Linked DNA regions of Struthio camelus. The protein of the gene in region 1 interacts with the protein of each later gene in a biochemical or structural test. Links are inferred from orthologs where the notes say so. Each region holds a gene or a part of one and is shown on either strand. Other genes may lie near its edges.

Region 1 (8,301 bases):
GGCACAGCTCAGCTCTCCGGCATAGCCCGGCTATCCGGCACAGCCCGGCTACCCGGCACACCTTGGTTATCCAGCACAGACTGGCTACCCGGCACACCTTGGTTATCCGGCACACCTCGGCTATCCGGCACACCTTGGTTATCCGGCACACCTCGGCTATCCGGCACAGCCCGGCTATCTGGCACAGCCCGGCTATTCGGCACAGCCCGGCTATCCGGCACACCTCGGCTATCCGGCACACCTCGGCTATCCGGCACAGCCCGGCTATCTGGCACACCTCGGCTATCCGGCACACCTCGGCTATCCGGCACAGCCCGGCTATCCGGCACACCTCGGTTATCCGGCACACCTCGGCTATCCGGCACACCTCGGCTATCCGGCACAGCCCGGCTACCCGGCACAGCCCGGCTATCCAGCACAGCCCGGCTACCCGGCACTGCTTCACTATCCAGCACACCTCGGCTACTCGGCACAGCCCGGCTATCCGGCACACCTTGGTTATCCGGCACACCTCGGCTATCCGGCACACCTTGGTTATCCGGCACACCTCGGCTACCCGGCATAGCCCGGCTATCCGGCACACCTCGGCTACCCGGCACACCTCGGCTCTCCGGCACGGCTCCTCGCCATCCACAAACACCTGGGAGCGATGCAGCCGGGGGCCGGCGCTCGGCCTGGTCCCCGGCGGCAGCCCCCGCGCGGGTCCGGAGGTGCCGGCCCTGCCGGAGGCTCCCGGCGCCGAGCGGGGCCCGAGGCTGCGGCCGGCGGCGGGGCTGCGGGCGACACGCGGGAAAAGGGGGAAAAAAGAACAAAAAGGGGAAAAAAAAAGCGAGAGCGAGGCCGGCTGAGCCGCGCGGGGCCGGGGCGGCAGCGGGAGCGCGGGGCCGCCCGGGGGCTCTTGTTTGGACGGAGACCCCGTTTCCCGAGGCGAGGGGCAGCCCGAGGGCCGGAGACGTCCCGGCCCCTCTCCACGGGGCCCCGGGAGGAAGAGGAGGGACCCGCGGCCGCTTGCGGAGGGAAGCGTTGGCCTGCGGCCCCGCCAGCAGCGCGCGGGGGAGCCCGTTACGCAGGTGGGTAAACTGAGGCACGGGGGGGAGCTGCATTCAAAGCCGGAAGCTTTTCCTAAGGGCAGGACTGGCTCCTGCCTCTCGGGCGAGGGCTGAGATCTGGGAGATGGGAGCAGCCGCCCGGCTGGCTCGGCCCCCGGCGCCTTTGGGGGCGTTTGGGTGCCAGGGTCCGGGGGGGGGGACACGGCTCTGCTGCTCGGCACACGGAGGGGGAACGCCGCGCCGGCGAGCCCCGGGGAGCTGCGCGGGCAACGGCAGGCCGGGAAAGCGGCCGAGCAAAACCCGCCGGCATCGCAGCAAAAACCCGCCGGCGCCATGCAGGGGGGGTCCGCGCCGGGGCGTCCGTCCGTCTGTCCGTCCGCCCGGCGCCGGCAGCCCCTGGGGTGAGGAGGAAGGAGCCGGGCGGACATTTCTCCTGCGCGCCGGACTCATCCCTCCGCCACCCACTGCCATAGTAGGGGCGCGCTGCAGCGCACATGCCCAGTCGGGCGGCTGGCAGCGATGACTCTCCAAACCCTCCCGAATCCCCAAGAAGTCTCCGGCGGGCGGCCAGGCAGGGCCGGATCCCCGCGATGCCGAGCCGGGGCGAAAGGCGCCGGGAGCTGGAGCGAGCGCCCCGCTCGAGGCCGCGGCTCGCCGGCGGCGTTTCCCGTCCCCGCCGGTGCCCGCCGCGGAAAACCGGCCCTTGGCCGGCCCGGCGCTCCGACGTCTCTCCCGGCCGGCACGTTCGGGGCGGACGGGCACCGGGGTTGGGGGGGGGGATCAGGCGAGCGCGCGGACGGGCGCTACGTACCCAAGCCGAGCCGGGGACGAAGCAGCGCTGTCCTCTCGGGTCCCGCCGCGGCTGGCGAGAGCCGCTTCCGTGGCAAAGGCCTGGCGGCGATGCCCGGAGGCGGCTGCGAGCCGGCGGGGCCGGCGCAGTCCTGGGCCGCTCTCCAAAAATCGCGCCTTCCCCCCCCATCCCCACCCTGCCCCGGTGCAGCCTGGGTGGCCCCGCTGCTGGCCGGGGGGACGCGGTGGCCCCACGAGGCCGGGGGCACCCCGAGGCTGGGGGCACCCCGAGCCCGGCCGGCACGCCGCGGGAACGGTCCCCCGGGAGTGGGGTTGGGGCGCGGGAACGCAGCCTGGCCGGGGGGCACGGTGGCCCCACGAGGCCGGGGGCACCCCAAGCCCAGCCAGCACCCCGAGCCCGGCCGGCACACCGTGGGAACGGGCACCCCGGGAGCGGGAGCGGGGTGCAGGAACGCAGCCCAGCCGGGGGGCACGGTGGCCCCACGAGGCCGGGGGCACCCCAAGCCCAGCCAGCACCCCGAGCCCGGCCGGCACACCGTGGGAACGGGCACCCCGGGAGCAGGATCGGGGCGCGGGAACACAGCCCGGCCGGGGGGCACGGTGGCCCCACGAGGCCGGGGGCACCCCGAGGCTGGGGGCACCCCGAGCCCGGCCGGCACGCCGCGGGAACGGGCACCCCGGGAGCGGGAGCGGGGCGCGGGAACGCAGCCCACCCGGAGGGATGGAGGGGACACGGACGCATCCGGCAGCCCCGGGGCCGGTGCCGGGGGTGAGCGCAGCATCGACGGAGGCGCCCGGACACCCCGGAGCGGCGCCGGGCCGCGAGCCCCCCGAGAGGCGCTGCGCCGGGGTTGGGGGGGGCATGCAGCGGGGTGTCCCACCCCGTCCCGTCCCCCTGCCCAGAAAGGATATGGCCATTCGGTGATCTTTTTGGCGTATTTCCTCACCACGTTGTCCTCGCTGAAGAGGAAGAGGGAGCGGTTGACAGTCAGGCAGTTCTGCCGGACGGGGATGGGGTTGTAGAGAGCCATGGTGCGGGCTCGCTGGGCCATCGACTGCTTGTACATCCTCTGCGCCCCGGGGGGGCCGCCCGGGCGGGTGCCCCCCGGCGCCCGCCCGCCAGCGCCCGGCGCAGCCCCGGGGCCTCCTGCCCCGGCGGCGCCCGCCGGCCCGTAGCGGGCCGGCACCTCGTCTCCGAAGCGAGCCATCCTGCAAAGAGCAAAGGGCCAGGGGTTACGCGGCGGAGGATGCTGCCGGCGAGGAGCTCATCACATCCCATGGGCCGGCGGCGGCGCGGCGCGGGGGGCCTGGCGGAGCCGGGGGGGCCGCTCAGGCGGCCGCGAGCCTGGACATCCTTCGTCTCTCCTCCCCTTGCAGGAGAGGAGCCGATGCAACCCGCTCCGGGGAGGGGAAAGGCGGGGGGGGGGGCAGCAGTGCACCACCCCTGAAAAAAACGGGGGTTTTGCCAGGGAAGGGGGGGGGAAAAGAGCCCCCCCCCCCAAAAAAAAAACCAAAAAGCAAAAAAAGGGAACTCCTCAATGCACCAAGCGCCCCGGTTCTCCGTCCAGCCGATGCCTTTTCGAGGAAGCCGGGGGGGGGGCGGGGGGAGGGCTGCGATTCCCAAAAAAAAAAAAAAAAAAAATCCCCCAATGCACCACCGGCGGAAAGGGGGAAAAAAAACGGGAGCGAGGTGTTAAAAGGGGAAAATGCCGCCCCCCCGGGCGAGGGACGGCCACGGGGCTAATTGCGATTCGGGAGAGCCAGGGCAGCAGCCTCTCCGCCGCCCCCCCGCGCGCCCAAAGCCCCCAATGCACCAATTCCTCAGCCCGACCTCGCCGGGGCGGCGGGGGGGCACCGGCACCCGGGGGAAAAAAATGCACCAGCGGCGCGATGGTCGCGCCGGGAACGGGGTGGGGAGGGGGGGGGGCCAAGCCGGGACGGCGAGCGGAGCGAGAAGGAGGAGGAGGGGGGGGCAAAAAAAAAAAATCTAGCCCCCCCACCCCTTTCCCCCCCCCAAAAAAAGAAACCACCCAGCTCAAATCAGTGCCCCCCACTGCGCCTCGCCCGCCCCCCCCCCCAAAAGCAGCCGCAAATCGCAACGGCGGAGGACAAAAAAGCAGCCAGGTATTAAAAAGCCGGGGGGGGGGGAAGGAAAAAAAAAAAAAGGCCCCAAAAAGAAACGAAAAACCAAAAAAGAGGCGCCCCCCCCCCGCCGCCGCCGCCTCGCCCAGGTGCCTGCTTTCACGCGTGCATCGCGCCGGGCGCGGGGGGGGCTCCACGGGGGCTGGGCGCGCGTGGGGGGGGGGCTCGCCGCGGGGCGGGGGGGGGGGTCACTCCCGCATCATCTCGGAGTTGAATGCAGCAAAGAAATCCTGTAAAATCCGGCCGGGGCAGAGCGGCGAGAAGTAGGTCCCATCCACCGCGCGCTCGGGAGGCTTCCCCGCATGCGGCAGCGGCGCGCAGCTGCTTGTGCCCCTTTCCCCCCCTCCCCTGCCCTGTATTCCTCCACCTCCTCCTCCTCCTCTTGGGTTATAGCTAAAATAAGACCGGTGTTAGGGAGGGAGGGAGGAGGGGGGGAAAGGGAAGGGAACAAAAAAAAAAAGGGCTCTGATTCACTGGCAGGTTGAGCTCTAACGTGCAGCAACTCATCAATTTAATGCAAGCTCAGAGCCGCGGCCCCGGCTCGGCACATGACGGGGCCGGGACCAATGGGGGCCGCATCCTGCCCCGGCCGGTCCCCAGGCCGCGCTGCGGTGCGCGCACGAGGCCCGGCAGGGTCACCCGCCGGTGCGTGTCGGCGCGCGATGGCGTGCGAGAGCGGGCGCGGGTTTGTGTGTGCGTGTGTGCTGGTGTGCGATCGCGTGTGAGAGCGGGTGCATGTGTGTGCGTGTGTGCTGGTGTGCGATCGCGTGCGAGAGCGGGTGCATGTGTGTGCGTGTGTGCTGGTGTGCGATCGCGTGCGAGAGCGGGTGCATGTGTGTGCTGGTGTGCGATCGCGTGTGAGAGCGGGTGCATGTGTGTGCTGGTGTGCGATCGCGTGCGAGAGCGGGTGCATGTGTGTGCGTGTGTGCTGGTGTGCGATCGCGTGCGAGAGCGGGTGCATGTGTGTGCTGGTGTGCGATCGCGTGCGAGAGCGGGTGCATGTGTGTGCGTGTGTGCTGGTGTGCGATCGCGTGCGAGAGCGGGTGCATGTGTGTGCGTGTGTGCTGGTGTGCGATCGCGTGCGAGAGCAGGTGCATGTGTGTGCTGGTGTGCGATCGCGTGTGAGAGCGGGTGCATGTGTGTGCCGGTGTGCAATCGCGTGCAAGAGCGGGTGCATGTGTGTGCGTGTGTGCTGGTGTGCGATCGCGTGCGAGAGCGGGTGCATGTGCGTACCGGTGTGCAATTGCGTGCAAGAGTGGGCGCGGGTTTGTGTGTGCACGTGCCAGCATGCAATCACGTGCGAGAGCGGGTGCATGTGCGTGCCGGTGTGCAATTGTGTGCAAGAGCGGGCGCGGGTTTGTGTGTGCGTGTGCTGGTGTGTGATCGCGTGCGAGAGCGGGTGCATGTGTGTGCCGGTGTGCAAACGCATGCTAGAGCGGGCACGTTTGTGTGCACGTGCAACGTGCAATCGCATGCGAGAGCGGGCGCGTGTTCGTGTGTGCCTGTGCTGGTGTGCGATTGCGTGCGAGAGCGGGCGTGTGTTTGTGTGTGCGTGCTGGTGTGCGATCACGTGCCAGAGCGGGTGCGTGTTCGTGTGTGCGTGTGCTGGTGTGCAATCGCGTGCCAGAGCAGGTGCATGTGCATGCCGGTGTGCAATTGTGTGCGAGAGCGGGCGCGTGTTCATGTGCGCGTGCAACGTGCGATCGCGTGCAAGAGCAGGCGCATGTCCTTGTGCATGTGCCGGCGTGCGATCGCGTGCGAGAGCAGGCACATGTCCGTGTCCGTGTGCGTGTGCTGGTGTGCAGTCGCGTGCGGGAGCATGTGTGTGTCCACATGCATGCATTGGTGTGCGATCGTGTGCAAGAGCACGTGCATGTCTGTGTGTGCACGTCAGCGTGCAATCGCGAGCAAGAGCATGTGCATGTCAGTGAGTACAAGCCTGTGCACAAGCGCGTGCAACAGTGCATGCAGGACCGAGAGGTCAATGTGCACGGCCACATGCACGGTGATGTGCACGACCAACACGTGTGGCCACGTGCACGAGCGCGCGCAACACTGTGCGTGACCGACACGCACACCCACGCGCACGGCTGCGTGTGCAAGACTGCATGGCGGCATGGCCAACGCGCGCGTGCGCGTGCACGGCTGCATGCGTAACTGCGTGACCACACGGCCAACGTGCAGGACCAAACGCACGACTGTGTGCACAACCGCATGCACAACCACGTGGTGCTGTGCACAGCTGCACGCACGACTGTATGCACAACCACGTGGTGCTGTGCACAGCTGCACGCCTGACCCCATGCTCAACTGCACACCTGATGTGCACAGCCGCACGCACAACTGCATGCACACCCATGTCGTGCTGTGCACAAGCGCACGCACGACCGCACGCACACCCACACGGTGCTGTGCACAAGCGCACGCACGACCGTTGCCGTGACCCCCGTGGCTGTTGCGCGCAACCGCACGCACGAGCACGGGCACAACTGCACGGCCGACGCGCGCAGGCACAGGCGCGACCGTGCACGGCCGCAGGGCTGCTGTGCACGATGGCACGCACAGCCGCGCACGAGGCGGCGCGCAACCACGCGCCCGAGCCCGGGAACAGCCGCGACGCGGGGACGGCGCCGGCGCTGGCGCTGCTCCCGCGGCCTCTGCCCGCCGAGCTGCTCCCCGGCGATGTAATTACGCTGCCGGCGCCCGGTTTGACAAGTCACGTTGACCCGCGCAAAGGGAACAGGCGCCCTCGGCAGCACCGCCGCCCGCCCCGGCGGCCCTTATCAGCGCGCGCCTCCAGCAACCCTCGCTCAGCGCTTCCCGGCTCCGTCCGCCCGGCTTCGCCGAAAAAAACCCCAAAAAAGAGCCCGGAGGAGCCGGCGCCGCCGCCAGGAGAGGCTCCCCGGGGGCCGGCTTTGGGTCTCCCACGCATGCACCGAGCGCAGCAGGTCTCAGCCCGCACTGCGCACGAGCATCCCTTCGCCCCGCGCCGGTCCCGCGCCCGGCCCGGTGCAGACCAGCCCCGCGCCGGATCCGGCTGCATTTCCGGGGCGACAAGGGGGGATTTCTCGGAGATTAGAGAAAACAGGAGAGGGGAAAAGGCCGCCGGGGAAAGGCAGAGGGGAAGCCGCCGGCTCGCTCGGAGAGAGGCAGGAACGTCCCCGAAGCGGGATGATGCCGCGGGAGAGGAGGGAAGCGGGTTAGGAGGGAGCCCGGGACGGGCCCGAGAGGCGTCCCGCTCCCTCCCTCCTCCTGCACGCGCTCAGCCCAGCTTTTCCTTCGGGATAAAAGGCCGAAGCGGGCGGCGGCGGCAGGAGCAGGGCGCCCCGGGGACCGTGCACGGTCCTGCTCGCGCCCGTCCCGCTCCCGGCTGGTGGCTCCGGCCCGGAGACTCGCAGCGTCCACGGTGTTTCCAATGTCCGGGACGAGGTGGGAGATGCCGGCTCCTTGCTGGGGGGGGGGGGGGGGGGGGAATCCCAGGGCGGCCGCGGCCTCGGCACCCGGATGTGGCTGGAGCCGAGGGAACAAAGGGCGGCGATGCTGCACCGGCCTGCATCCCGCATCCTGCATCCTGCATCCCGTATCCTGCATCCCGCATCCTGTATCCCACATCCTGCATCCCGCATCCTGTATCCCACATCCTGCATCCTGCATCCTGTATCCCGCATCCCGCATCCTGCATCCTGCATCCCGCATCCTGCATCCTGTATCCCGCATCCTGCATCCCGCATCCTGTATCCCACATCCCGCATCCTGCATCCTGCGTCCTGCATCCTGTATCCCGCATCCTGCATCCTGCATCCCGCATCCCGCATCCTGTATCCTGCATCCAGCATCCTGCATCCTGTATCCCACATCCCGCATCCTGCATCCCGTATCCTGCATCCCACTTCCCACATTCTGCTCCCTGCATCCCGTATCCCGCCTCCCGCCTCCCACATCCTGCATCCTGCATCCCGTATCCCGCCTCCCGCCTCCCACATCCTGTATCCTGCATCCTGCATCCCGTATCCCACATCCCGCCTCCCACATCCTGTATCCTGCATCCCGCATCCCGCACCCCGCTTCCCGCCTCCCGGCGGCCCGTAGCCGCCAGAGGGAGCCTCGGGCAGCGCGACGGGACAAAACCCCATTTCTGAGACGCGAGGGGCTGCGGGCGGCGGAGGGGGGCGGCAAGCAGGGGGGCGCAAGGGGCACGCAGGGACGCGCCGGAGCCGGAGCGGCCAGGCGCCGCCGGAGACCCGGCCCGGCGGGCGGCGCGGGGGCGAACGAGCCCCCCCGGCGCTCGGCAGCGCCGTGC
Region 2 (8,591 bases), on another chromosome or scaffold:
TTTCTTCCTTGGCAGAGGTGGGATTGCAAGCACAAGTTTCCTTTGCGAGAACAGGCAAGGGATGATCGCAGCTGACTGTGTGGGCCCTCTGTGGATGCAAGGTGCTGAGCCAGAAACTTGTATAGAATCTCTTTTCCTTTTTTGATGTATTTAGAAGTGAAGGAGTATACTAGTTCCTTGTGGTAAAGGAGGGACTCAAGAATGTTTGAAACTTAAGACTGTGAGAATCTGCCTTGTTCCCCTTTAAATGGGGAGCAAAGTGGAGCAGAAATCATGTTTATGGGACCAGGGAATTCTTGCCTCTTTTGGATTTCCTTTCTTTGCCACCATTTACATGTCTGAATGCTGACTACAGTCAGAGAAAAACTCTCAAACCATTTGAAACAGGTGTCTTTTAACTCGCAGTATGTATAGACAGAAGAAGTGCTTTACCAGTGGGACTGTGTTCCTCCTTTAATATAAGGAATGGGTGCATGTTTAAAATGACAGATGTGTCTTTAAAAAAGGATTTGCCTTGGAACCGCAACTGTAGCGTTTGGTGGATAAGAAAAGAAATCTAAGACTTCCTTCCCTGATGCACTTTTTTAATGGGTGGGTGGGAGGAGGGGCTGGTTGGTTTGTTTTTGTGGGGTTTTGTTGGGTTTTTGCAGGGGGGAGAGGAGTAGATGAACTGAAGTCTCTTTCAGGAACATGGGATTTCTTTCTTTTACTCCTTCCACCTCTGGAAAAATCACTTAATTTTCCAATTTACGTACTCACTTTAGCATGGTCATGTTTATACGTGTTTTAACTATGTTATGATGAATAATAATCTTTAGACTGGGAAAATAATGGGAGCAAATCACTGATTTAAACAAAAATCTTGATTAAATGCAGGAAACTCCAAAAATCTCCAAATTAAAGAGTGTTTGGTGTATCATTTTTCTACCAAATGAGAACAGTTGTATTATAGACTGAGTAATAAAAATTACCCTTCACTCAGTACCACCTCCATTTCTTTCACATTTCATTAAATTATTTAGTATCATGACCTTATTCATTTGCAGCTTTATGCTTATGCAATAAGGTACCTGCTCTTTGAATCATTTTGTATTTAAATTTGTGCAATTGGAAGGAAGCTTTTGTCTTTCCTTTTGACATGACATTAATTTGTCTTTATCCTTCCCCGTGAAGTAGCTTAGTATAAATAACACATGTTGCAATACTGAAGTATTTTGATAACTTGTTCCTTGTGTTCTTTAAAAAGAAGAATTAATTTCAATGCTGCTGTTCAAAATTCTTATCGTTGAGGAACTTTTTTGTAAAGAGTTTACTTTGTTCCAAACTGGTATGTAATCAAACTAAATCTTGCTATCATTTATGTAGAGTATCCACGTTTATTAGTAAAGGAGATAAAGGTAGGTATTTTTATTGGATTCAAAGATTTGATCCAACGGAAATATTGAGCAGTATCTTAAATTGCGAGAGCGAGACAGATGTGATTTGATTACATTTAGTTAATTATTTTATGAAATATAAATAATGTATATACTCATTTGTCTGAGATTTTCTACGCAGCTACATATAAGCATACTGTTAAAGCCTGAAATTTTATAAAAGCAGGATCTGCCATTCTGTCATCTCTTATATTCCTTATTCTGTGATATGCAACTTGTAGATAGTGTAAAATAATTTAATTATTAAAATTGTGTATTTAGAGGGTTTTGGTGTTAAAAGGATCTGTTTTTTCTCTTCATACTTCTATACATTATCATATTTATTTTTAAGGCCTGATTGTAACGGAACATGCTGCCAAAGGATTTATCTAACTTCAGATTTCTACATTAGGTTTATACCTACTGTTTTATATCAGGAATCAATGGTAGATAACTTCTGCTTTTTCATATAAACTCTTATTGTTTAACATAGAAGTTTGTGCAACTTTATAATGAGAATTTTATTGTAATATATTTGTTTCATGGGTGTTGAAAATATCAATACTAGATAAACTTTCTTCTAGTATGAGTTTGCAAGCTATTATGTCTAAGTTATAGTCCGCTGAAAGCAACAATTTAATTTGTCTTTAATATCACCATGCAGAGATGTGTTTTGGGAAATCTTAATGTTTCATATAGCCTTGATGTGACTTAGGCATTGTCTATTTAATTTGTTATAGAAATTACAATATTAAAAAATATAATGGGTTCTGTAACAGGTAAACCTTAAAATAATGTTCTGTGTTCATTTTACTTTGGCTTTTCTTTGTAAATGTTGACTCGTGGAATAGCGTAATCCTTCTGAAGGCTGTCCTTTAGCAAGGAGAGCTGGGGGGTCATGACTGTGCTGCAATCTCTTAGTCGTTATTTTCTGATAGGAAGATTTTTCTTTTTTTAATCTATGCATCTTTTCTAAGAAATAATAGGCACTACTCTTGCTTACACTGAACACTGTGATGTGTCTGTTGAATGAATAACTTTTTAGAATTTGTGGCTCTTACCAGTTACATTTTACATGAAGCTAACTGAAACTGTTTTGAATTGGAAAAGATGAAAAATGAAGGAAAGAGAAATGGGGCAGGTTCTGAGCACTCTTGAATTTTCTGTTAGAGTCACTGGAATTGTAGCATCTGCCGATCTGCTAGCTAGTGATCTGGCCCCCAAGGTTACACCATGCCGGAACTTTAAATTCAGATTAAGGTTCCACTTCTGTTTTGTCTGGGGTTTGAGTTGAACATCTGTTGGTTAATAGATGTATCGCAGTTCTTGCAGAAAATCATCCTAAAGAGTTTGCAGCCTTAAGAGTAAAGGGATGTGTTTTATTGGAGTACCCATCTGGCCTCTTGTCTGCAATGTGTGTGCATTGCCTTGTGTGAATAAAGCAAATTTGTTTAACAACACAGGTGAGGAGTTTTCTGTTCATGGCATGGTGAAATCCTTGCCAGAGAGAAGAGGCAGAGGCGACACGAGACGCTGCTGGCAGCGGATGGTTGCGTGAATGTCGCGGCTCCGGCCCTGGCGGACCCTGCTGTGCCCTCCGCTGGCTCTGCCCTCCCCATATTGGCGGTGGCACGTCGGCCACCAGCTCCAGCTCATCCTCTTCCAACCCGGTATCAGCAAAGCTAGTGCTCTGGAAGAGACTCCTTATTTCGGAGCTGTGCTACGTTCCCCTCTGTTGATGAGCTTTTCTAATTGGGAACCAGTGCTCTGTTACCTTTAATTGCCTATAAGCTAGGCTTAGTGTGCGAGAGTGACAATACTGCTACATGTTGGGTGTTAATTGTGGAATCAAAGAGGAACAACTGATAAATACCAGTGCTACTACACTTCACCACAAATGACGTGTTCATATAAACAAATACACTGCTCTTAGGATGTGCAATACAATCAAATTTTAAGAGCCACGATTCATTACGGCTTACAGTGGGTTTTCAAGGAGACGCTAAACAGTCTATCCAAAAATATTTCTAGCACGCACAAAATAACTCCTTATGCTTTGAAGATATCCTCTACTAATGCTGTGAATGGACTCCAACACAATGCATGCACTTGGTAACAACTTATATTAATTATTATTCAGATATTTAAACCATTGTATTCCACCATTCATTTACAACATCCTTTTGAGTTACTAACCCCCATGGCTTCATTTCAGGTCACGTTACACAGTAAATCTACATCTTACCAAAGCAAAGCACTTACTAAATTATTGGCAAAAGCAATACTTAAGCCTTGTTTTTCCTTTCAAATCTCAGCCTAGACATTGCTATGTCTTGCTAAAATGAGAAGGTGACGTGCTTAATTTTCTGGACAGTATCTTAATTTGGGAAGCCAGCCATGTACTCAGGCATGCTAATGTTTAAAGAAAAGTATCCTTCCTAGTGCTGGTTTAATGATTAAACAATTTAAAAAAATCTAATTTAGACTAGAGCGTTCATGACCCACATTCGTCTTGGATAAAGAAACCAGGCTGCCTAATTTCACCCAAGGCATTTGCAAAAATCTACAGTTTGTGTCTACAGCGGGAGAGAAAGACGTGTTTGCTGTGTGCTGCAGGCGTTCCCCAGAGGGGCGCGTGCGCTGCAGGTAGCCGGTGGAGATCACTTTTCAGAGCCTGATTTGGGCCCGTCGCTCAGACGTTTGCCTTGACGCTGCTTTGGTTTCACGCGCCGGTTTCCTTAGCTGCACGAATCCTTGCTGAAAACTGAAGGCTGCAGCGAATGCCTGGGAAGGGATGGCCTACAAACGTAGATAAAGTCGTCACCCCGTGCATTAGAGGAAATGGTAGCGCTTTGATACGTCTGTACGCTTTCCTTCTCTATCCGTTTCCTGGTTAGTTGAAAAAAAATTTTTTTTTGGAGAGGGGGCTGCTCAACGCTGCTTGGTTTAACAGTGAGATCAGCTCATTTCAGTGGGAGGTGCAAGCTACTTGTAGTTAAAGCACAGGAGTGGGAAGCAGGAAAGCCAGGTCCTGTTTCCAATTCTTCCCCAGATTTCCTGCTAAACTTCACGTTAATCACTTAATCTCTGGTTTTATTTTTATTCCTCTGCAAATTGCAGCGCTCTTGATGCATGGCAGTCGGTGCAAATTAGCGCTGTGACGGGTGCTCGGGAAGTGCTAGGTGGCACCGCACGGGAGGCCCAAGGGTGCCCTTTTAAACGGCTGGAATGGTTTCAGCGCCGTTTCAGGTTAAAGAGGTCAAACTGGGTTCACAGTCCAGTACCGGTCCGTAGCATCTGCAGCCTGAGTCTGCCAAGGTGCCGTGCGTGGGACGTGGCGCAACGCAGCTCTCCGGGACGGATGGGGACGATCACCGGTTTGCGCGGCAAAATGAACACCGTCACGTTAGCTACGGCGATGGCCGTTAGTTTACGAGCCCGAATAAATTGCACGGCTTCGCCTAAGCAGACGACGCGGGGGGCTCCCGCCCTGCGCCGAGCTCCGCCAACCTCACCCCGGCTCAGGGCTCAACCGCAGCCCCGGCGTCGACGCTCAGCCGCTATCGCCTCGGCCGGCCCGGCCGCTCCCCCGTGCCTCGGGGACCCCCGGTTTCGGCTGCCCCCCTTCCACCCAGCCAGGGGAAACGGCTTCTCCGCGTGGAGGGGTGCGGGGGTGTCGCCTTGGCGGGGGCCGCTGCCGCCGCTGCCTCAGGGGCCGCGGTTCCCGCCTCGGGCGGCGCCGCCTCAGGGCCCGCGGTTCCCGCCTCAGGGGCCGCCGCCGCCGCCGCCTCAGGGGCCGCGGTTCCCGCCTCAGGGGGCGCCGCCGCCTCAGGGGCCGCGGTTCCCGCCTCGGGCGGCGCCATCTCGCGAGCCGCCCCCCGAGGGGCCGCGCCGCCGCCGCCGCCGCCGGAGGAGCCGCCCGCCGCTCCCGCCCCTCAGGTAGCTCTGCTCCCGCCCTGCCTCCTCCCTCCTCCTCCTCGCCCTGCCCCTCGGCGCGCTCGCTCGCCGGCAGGCAGCAGGCAGCCCCGCCGTGCCGATCCTCGCTGTCATGGCTGCGGTGGGTGCCGCTGCGTGGGGGCGGCCGGGCCGGGTCGGGTCGGGTCGGGGATGGCAGTGCGGGGTGGGGTGGGGTGGGGTGGGGTGGGGTGGGGGGGTCAGGCCGGCGGCGCGACCCTCATGTCTTCGCCTTCCCCGGCGCAGGTGACGAGGGGCACGGCGACGCGCCGCAGCCGCCTGAAGCGCTCCGACGGCAGCACCACCTCCACCAGCTTCATCCTGCGGCAGGTGAGGCCGGGCGCGGCCGCGGGCCGGGCGGGCGCTGCCGGCGGAGCGGCGCGGAGCGGGGCGGGAGCTGCTCGGGGCGCCGCCGCCCCGGCCCCGGCCCGCGCCCTCGGGGCCGCCCCGCGCTGCGCCGCTCCGCGCCGCCCCGAGGGCAGGTCGGCGCCCGGAGCCCGCTGCCCCCACCGGGGGCTGCGCGCAGAGCGCGGTGTGCTTTTTGCGTCTTTATTCCTTATCTTGTGTGTGCGTGTGTGGTTTTGTCCCCCTTGAAATACCTAAAATCGCAACTTATTTTCATACCTGGGGTCAGGCCAGCGTGCTTCACGTTCCCTGCTAAAATCGTGTATATATGCACACGCACACGTATATATCGTATATAATCATATATATATATATTTATGTGTGTGTGTATATGTATGTGTATATATAAAATATATATATTTTTTCTCCTTGCACTGCCTAAAAGTCATTTGGGAGAGCGCTGGGGTTGGTTGCCTCCCCGGCTCGCGCCGCGGAGCGCCCCGGCAGGAGTTCCCGGCCTCTTTCCGCTGGCGGCGTTAGGGAACGGCGCTCTCCTGCGTGGTGAGCCAGCCTTAGTAAACCGTTGGAAACGACTTGAAGACGTCCACGGATAACGTTTATTTGGCTTATTGCGTAGCTTCGTTTTAAATCGCGAGCACAAATCTCCTTGAGGCAGAAGCAAAGTTAGCAAAGTTTGGGGATTTGGACTCGCTCGTGTTCTTCTTTTGTTGTGATCAAAGTGGTTTGTTTTTTTTTTTTTGTTTTTAAGCACTGAGTTTAGGAGGGTTTTTGTGCTGCTGTTAGCACTGCTTTGAGAGCCCCGCTGTGGGGGACCGTGCGGCTCGGGGCCTCGCTCTGTGCGCACAGAAGCTGTGGTTACTCGGTCTCCCTCTGTACCAGATTATCCCCGGCCTCTGGGGGAAGGTGAAACACAGGAGAGCTGGACTTAACGCTGTAAGCCCCGAGTGTCCAAGAATTGCGAGAGGGAGGCCTGAAAAAATCGGTCTGAAGTTAACGATTGCTTTAGAAATTAGGTTTATTGTGTTTGCCTTCCAGTTTCTAAGCCGCAGCTTGCGCTTTGGGCTGGTTTTCTAGGTATTCTCTGTAACAGCGAGGGCAGGAAATACACTTTTCGGAAAGCATGAAAGCTGGGACTTTAGAGGAGTTGAGGATTTTTGAAAAACATGCTTGCAATGCAGCGTCACGAGCACTGGCCTCTCGGTTTGGGGCTTCGGGCTTATTGGTGCTAATTATACAGTTGTCCTGCTTCCCCTGGCGTTGCAGGAGTAACGCTAGCAATTTAGATGAAGCCTCCTGCTAACAGTTACCTTTTCTTTTTCTGTTTCCAGTCTTAGCTCTTGTCTGTTAGCTCTCCCGCGATAAAGTAAAAACTAGTATCCTTAGTCTCACCGAAGCTTTACTTTCTCTCTTAAATGATGCTTGCTGGAGAAACTTTGTTAATTTGCTTTAAAAGTAAATGAGATGAACTGTTTCTGGAGATTATTCCTTTTTACGTACAAAAAATTTACCCGGAGCCTGAACCCGTGTACTCCACAGGCACCCAAATCTCTCAGTGCCATTCGCAGAAATTTAGGCAATTACAAGGAAAGCAGAACTGGGTCCTTGAAAAACCAGGGGCCGCGTGTCATGCGTAGAAGCGTGTTTCGCGCAGGACGTGGAAGTTGTCAGTTGGATTGGTCGGTCAGATAAGGAGATATAAATAACCCCGGCAAGGTTTCTGTGGTGTTCTCCGTTCATCCTTCCAGGCCAAGCCAGAATCGCAGCAATTTCCGACTGGCAGCCAGCCCTCGTTTCCAGCGGAGTCAAGCGCGACGTCACCGTAGCCCCAATGACAGTCGGGATCTGAAGCATAAGGTGGTCTCAGCCAAATAACTTAGAATTGCGACAGTGCTAAATAAATACGCAAGGCGTTTTATCCCCACTTTGTGCGTTGTGGCAGTTCAGCAGATGCTGTGGGCCCTTCTGGAGATGTCCCGAACGGTCTCGTCGGTTGTCAGAAGTGTCATTTGAAGGGGTGGGTTTTGGGTCATACTCGCATAGGCAATTACGGGCTTGATCTTCAGGTTTTTGACCTGCTGGGTTGGTTTCGTTTGTGATTTAGACGGACGCAGTGAGGATAACCGGCTTCACTCCGGAGCAGAGCACGCGGTGTCTGAAGCGCGAGTCCACGGCGTGGGGGTTTTGAGCCCTTGCGTGTGTGAGAGCTCACGCGAGTGCCCGGGAAGGCTGCTGCTTGTGGGCAGGAGCCTGGTTTTCAAACAAACTAGCAAGGTGTCCTATTTGAATTATGCTGCACCTAATACCTTTTTTTGGGGGTTCAAAATACGCTGAAACGTTTCCTGTGCTTGAGACCCTTCTGTGTGTCTCACGTTGCAGGGCTTGGGGTGCTCTGTAAGTACTGTAGTGTGTTTCAACGCATCCGTGTTTGCTGTCTTTGTTTCTGAAACCCCTCCTTGAAGGATTGCTTTATAGTAGATAATACACTAAAGCGGTGCTGCCATATACCTGAGGCCCTTCATTTTGGTCTAATTGAATTATAAATCACAGCTTGTACGTCTTGCATCCTACAGTTTACCGAATTCAAATGGGAACTGAAGTGCGCAAGGATTATTTAGTTGTCCTTTATAGAGCAAGCCCTGTGGTGGCCAAGGATCCAATTTCCAAACTTCAAGTGCTCGTGTGAATGGGCTGTACCTATTACTGTGCTCTTAACTTGCATGCTTAGCTTAATTACCTGCACAGTTCGTAAGTGTGTGTAACAGGGGATCTCGGCATGAAAATGTACTTTTAAATGAGACTGAGGGCAGCTGTAGGCCTCAACACCTAACCAGTCCTTACTGATCTTTTTAGAAGAAT

Evidence for each region.
Region 2: the proteins of CACNA1A (region 1) and CACNB4 form a complex in vitro, tested with the Homo sapiens proteins (2 studies listed by BioGRID). The link is inferred for Struthio camelus from reciprocal best matches to the Homo sapiens genes CACNA1A and CACNB4.

The regions. Positions count from the first base shown.
Region 1 is NC_090972.1:4,422,005-4,430,305, forward strand, and holds the start of CACNA1A (voltage-dependent P/Q-type calcium channel subunit alpha-1A), read right to left. Parts: upstream 3,456-8,301; 5' UTR 3,068-3,455; coding exon 2,772-3,067; intron 1-2,771.
Region 2 is NC_090947.1:44,648,702-44,657,292, reverse strand, and holds the start of CACNB4 (voltage-dependent L-type calcium channel subunit beta-4), read left to right. Parts: upstream 1-5,373; 5' UTR 5,374-5,463; coding exon 5,464-5,472; intron 5,473-5,615; coding exon 5,616-5,699; intron 5,700-8,591. UniProt on the Homo sapiens protein: The beta subunit of voltage-dependent calcium channels contributes to the function of the calcium channel by increasing peak calcium current, shifting the voltage dependencies of activation and inactivation, modulating G protein inhibition and controlling the alpha-1 subunit membrane targeting.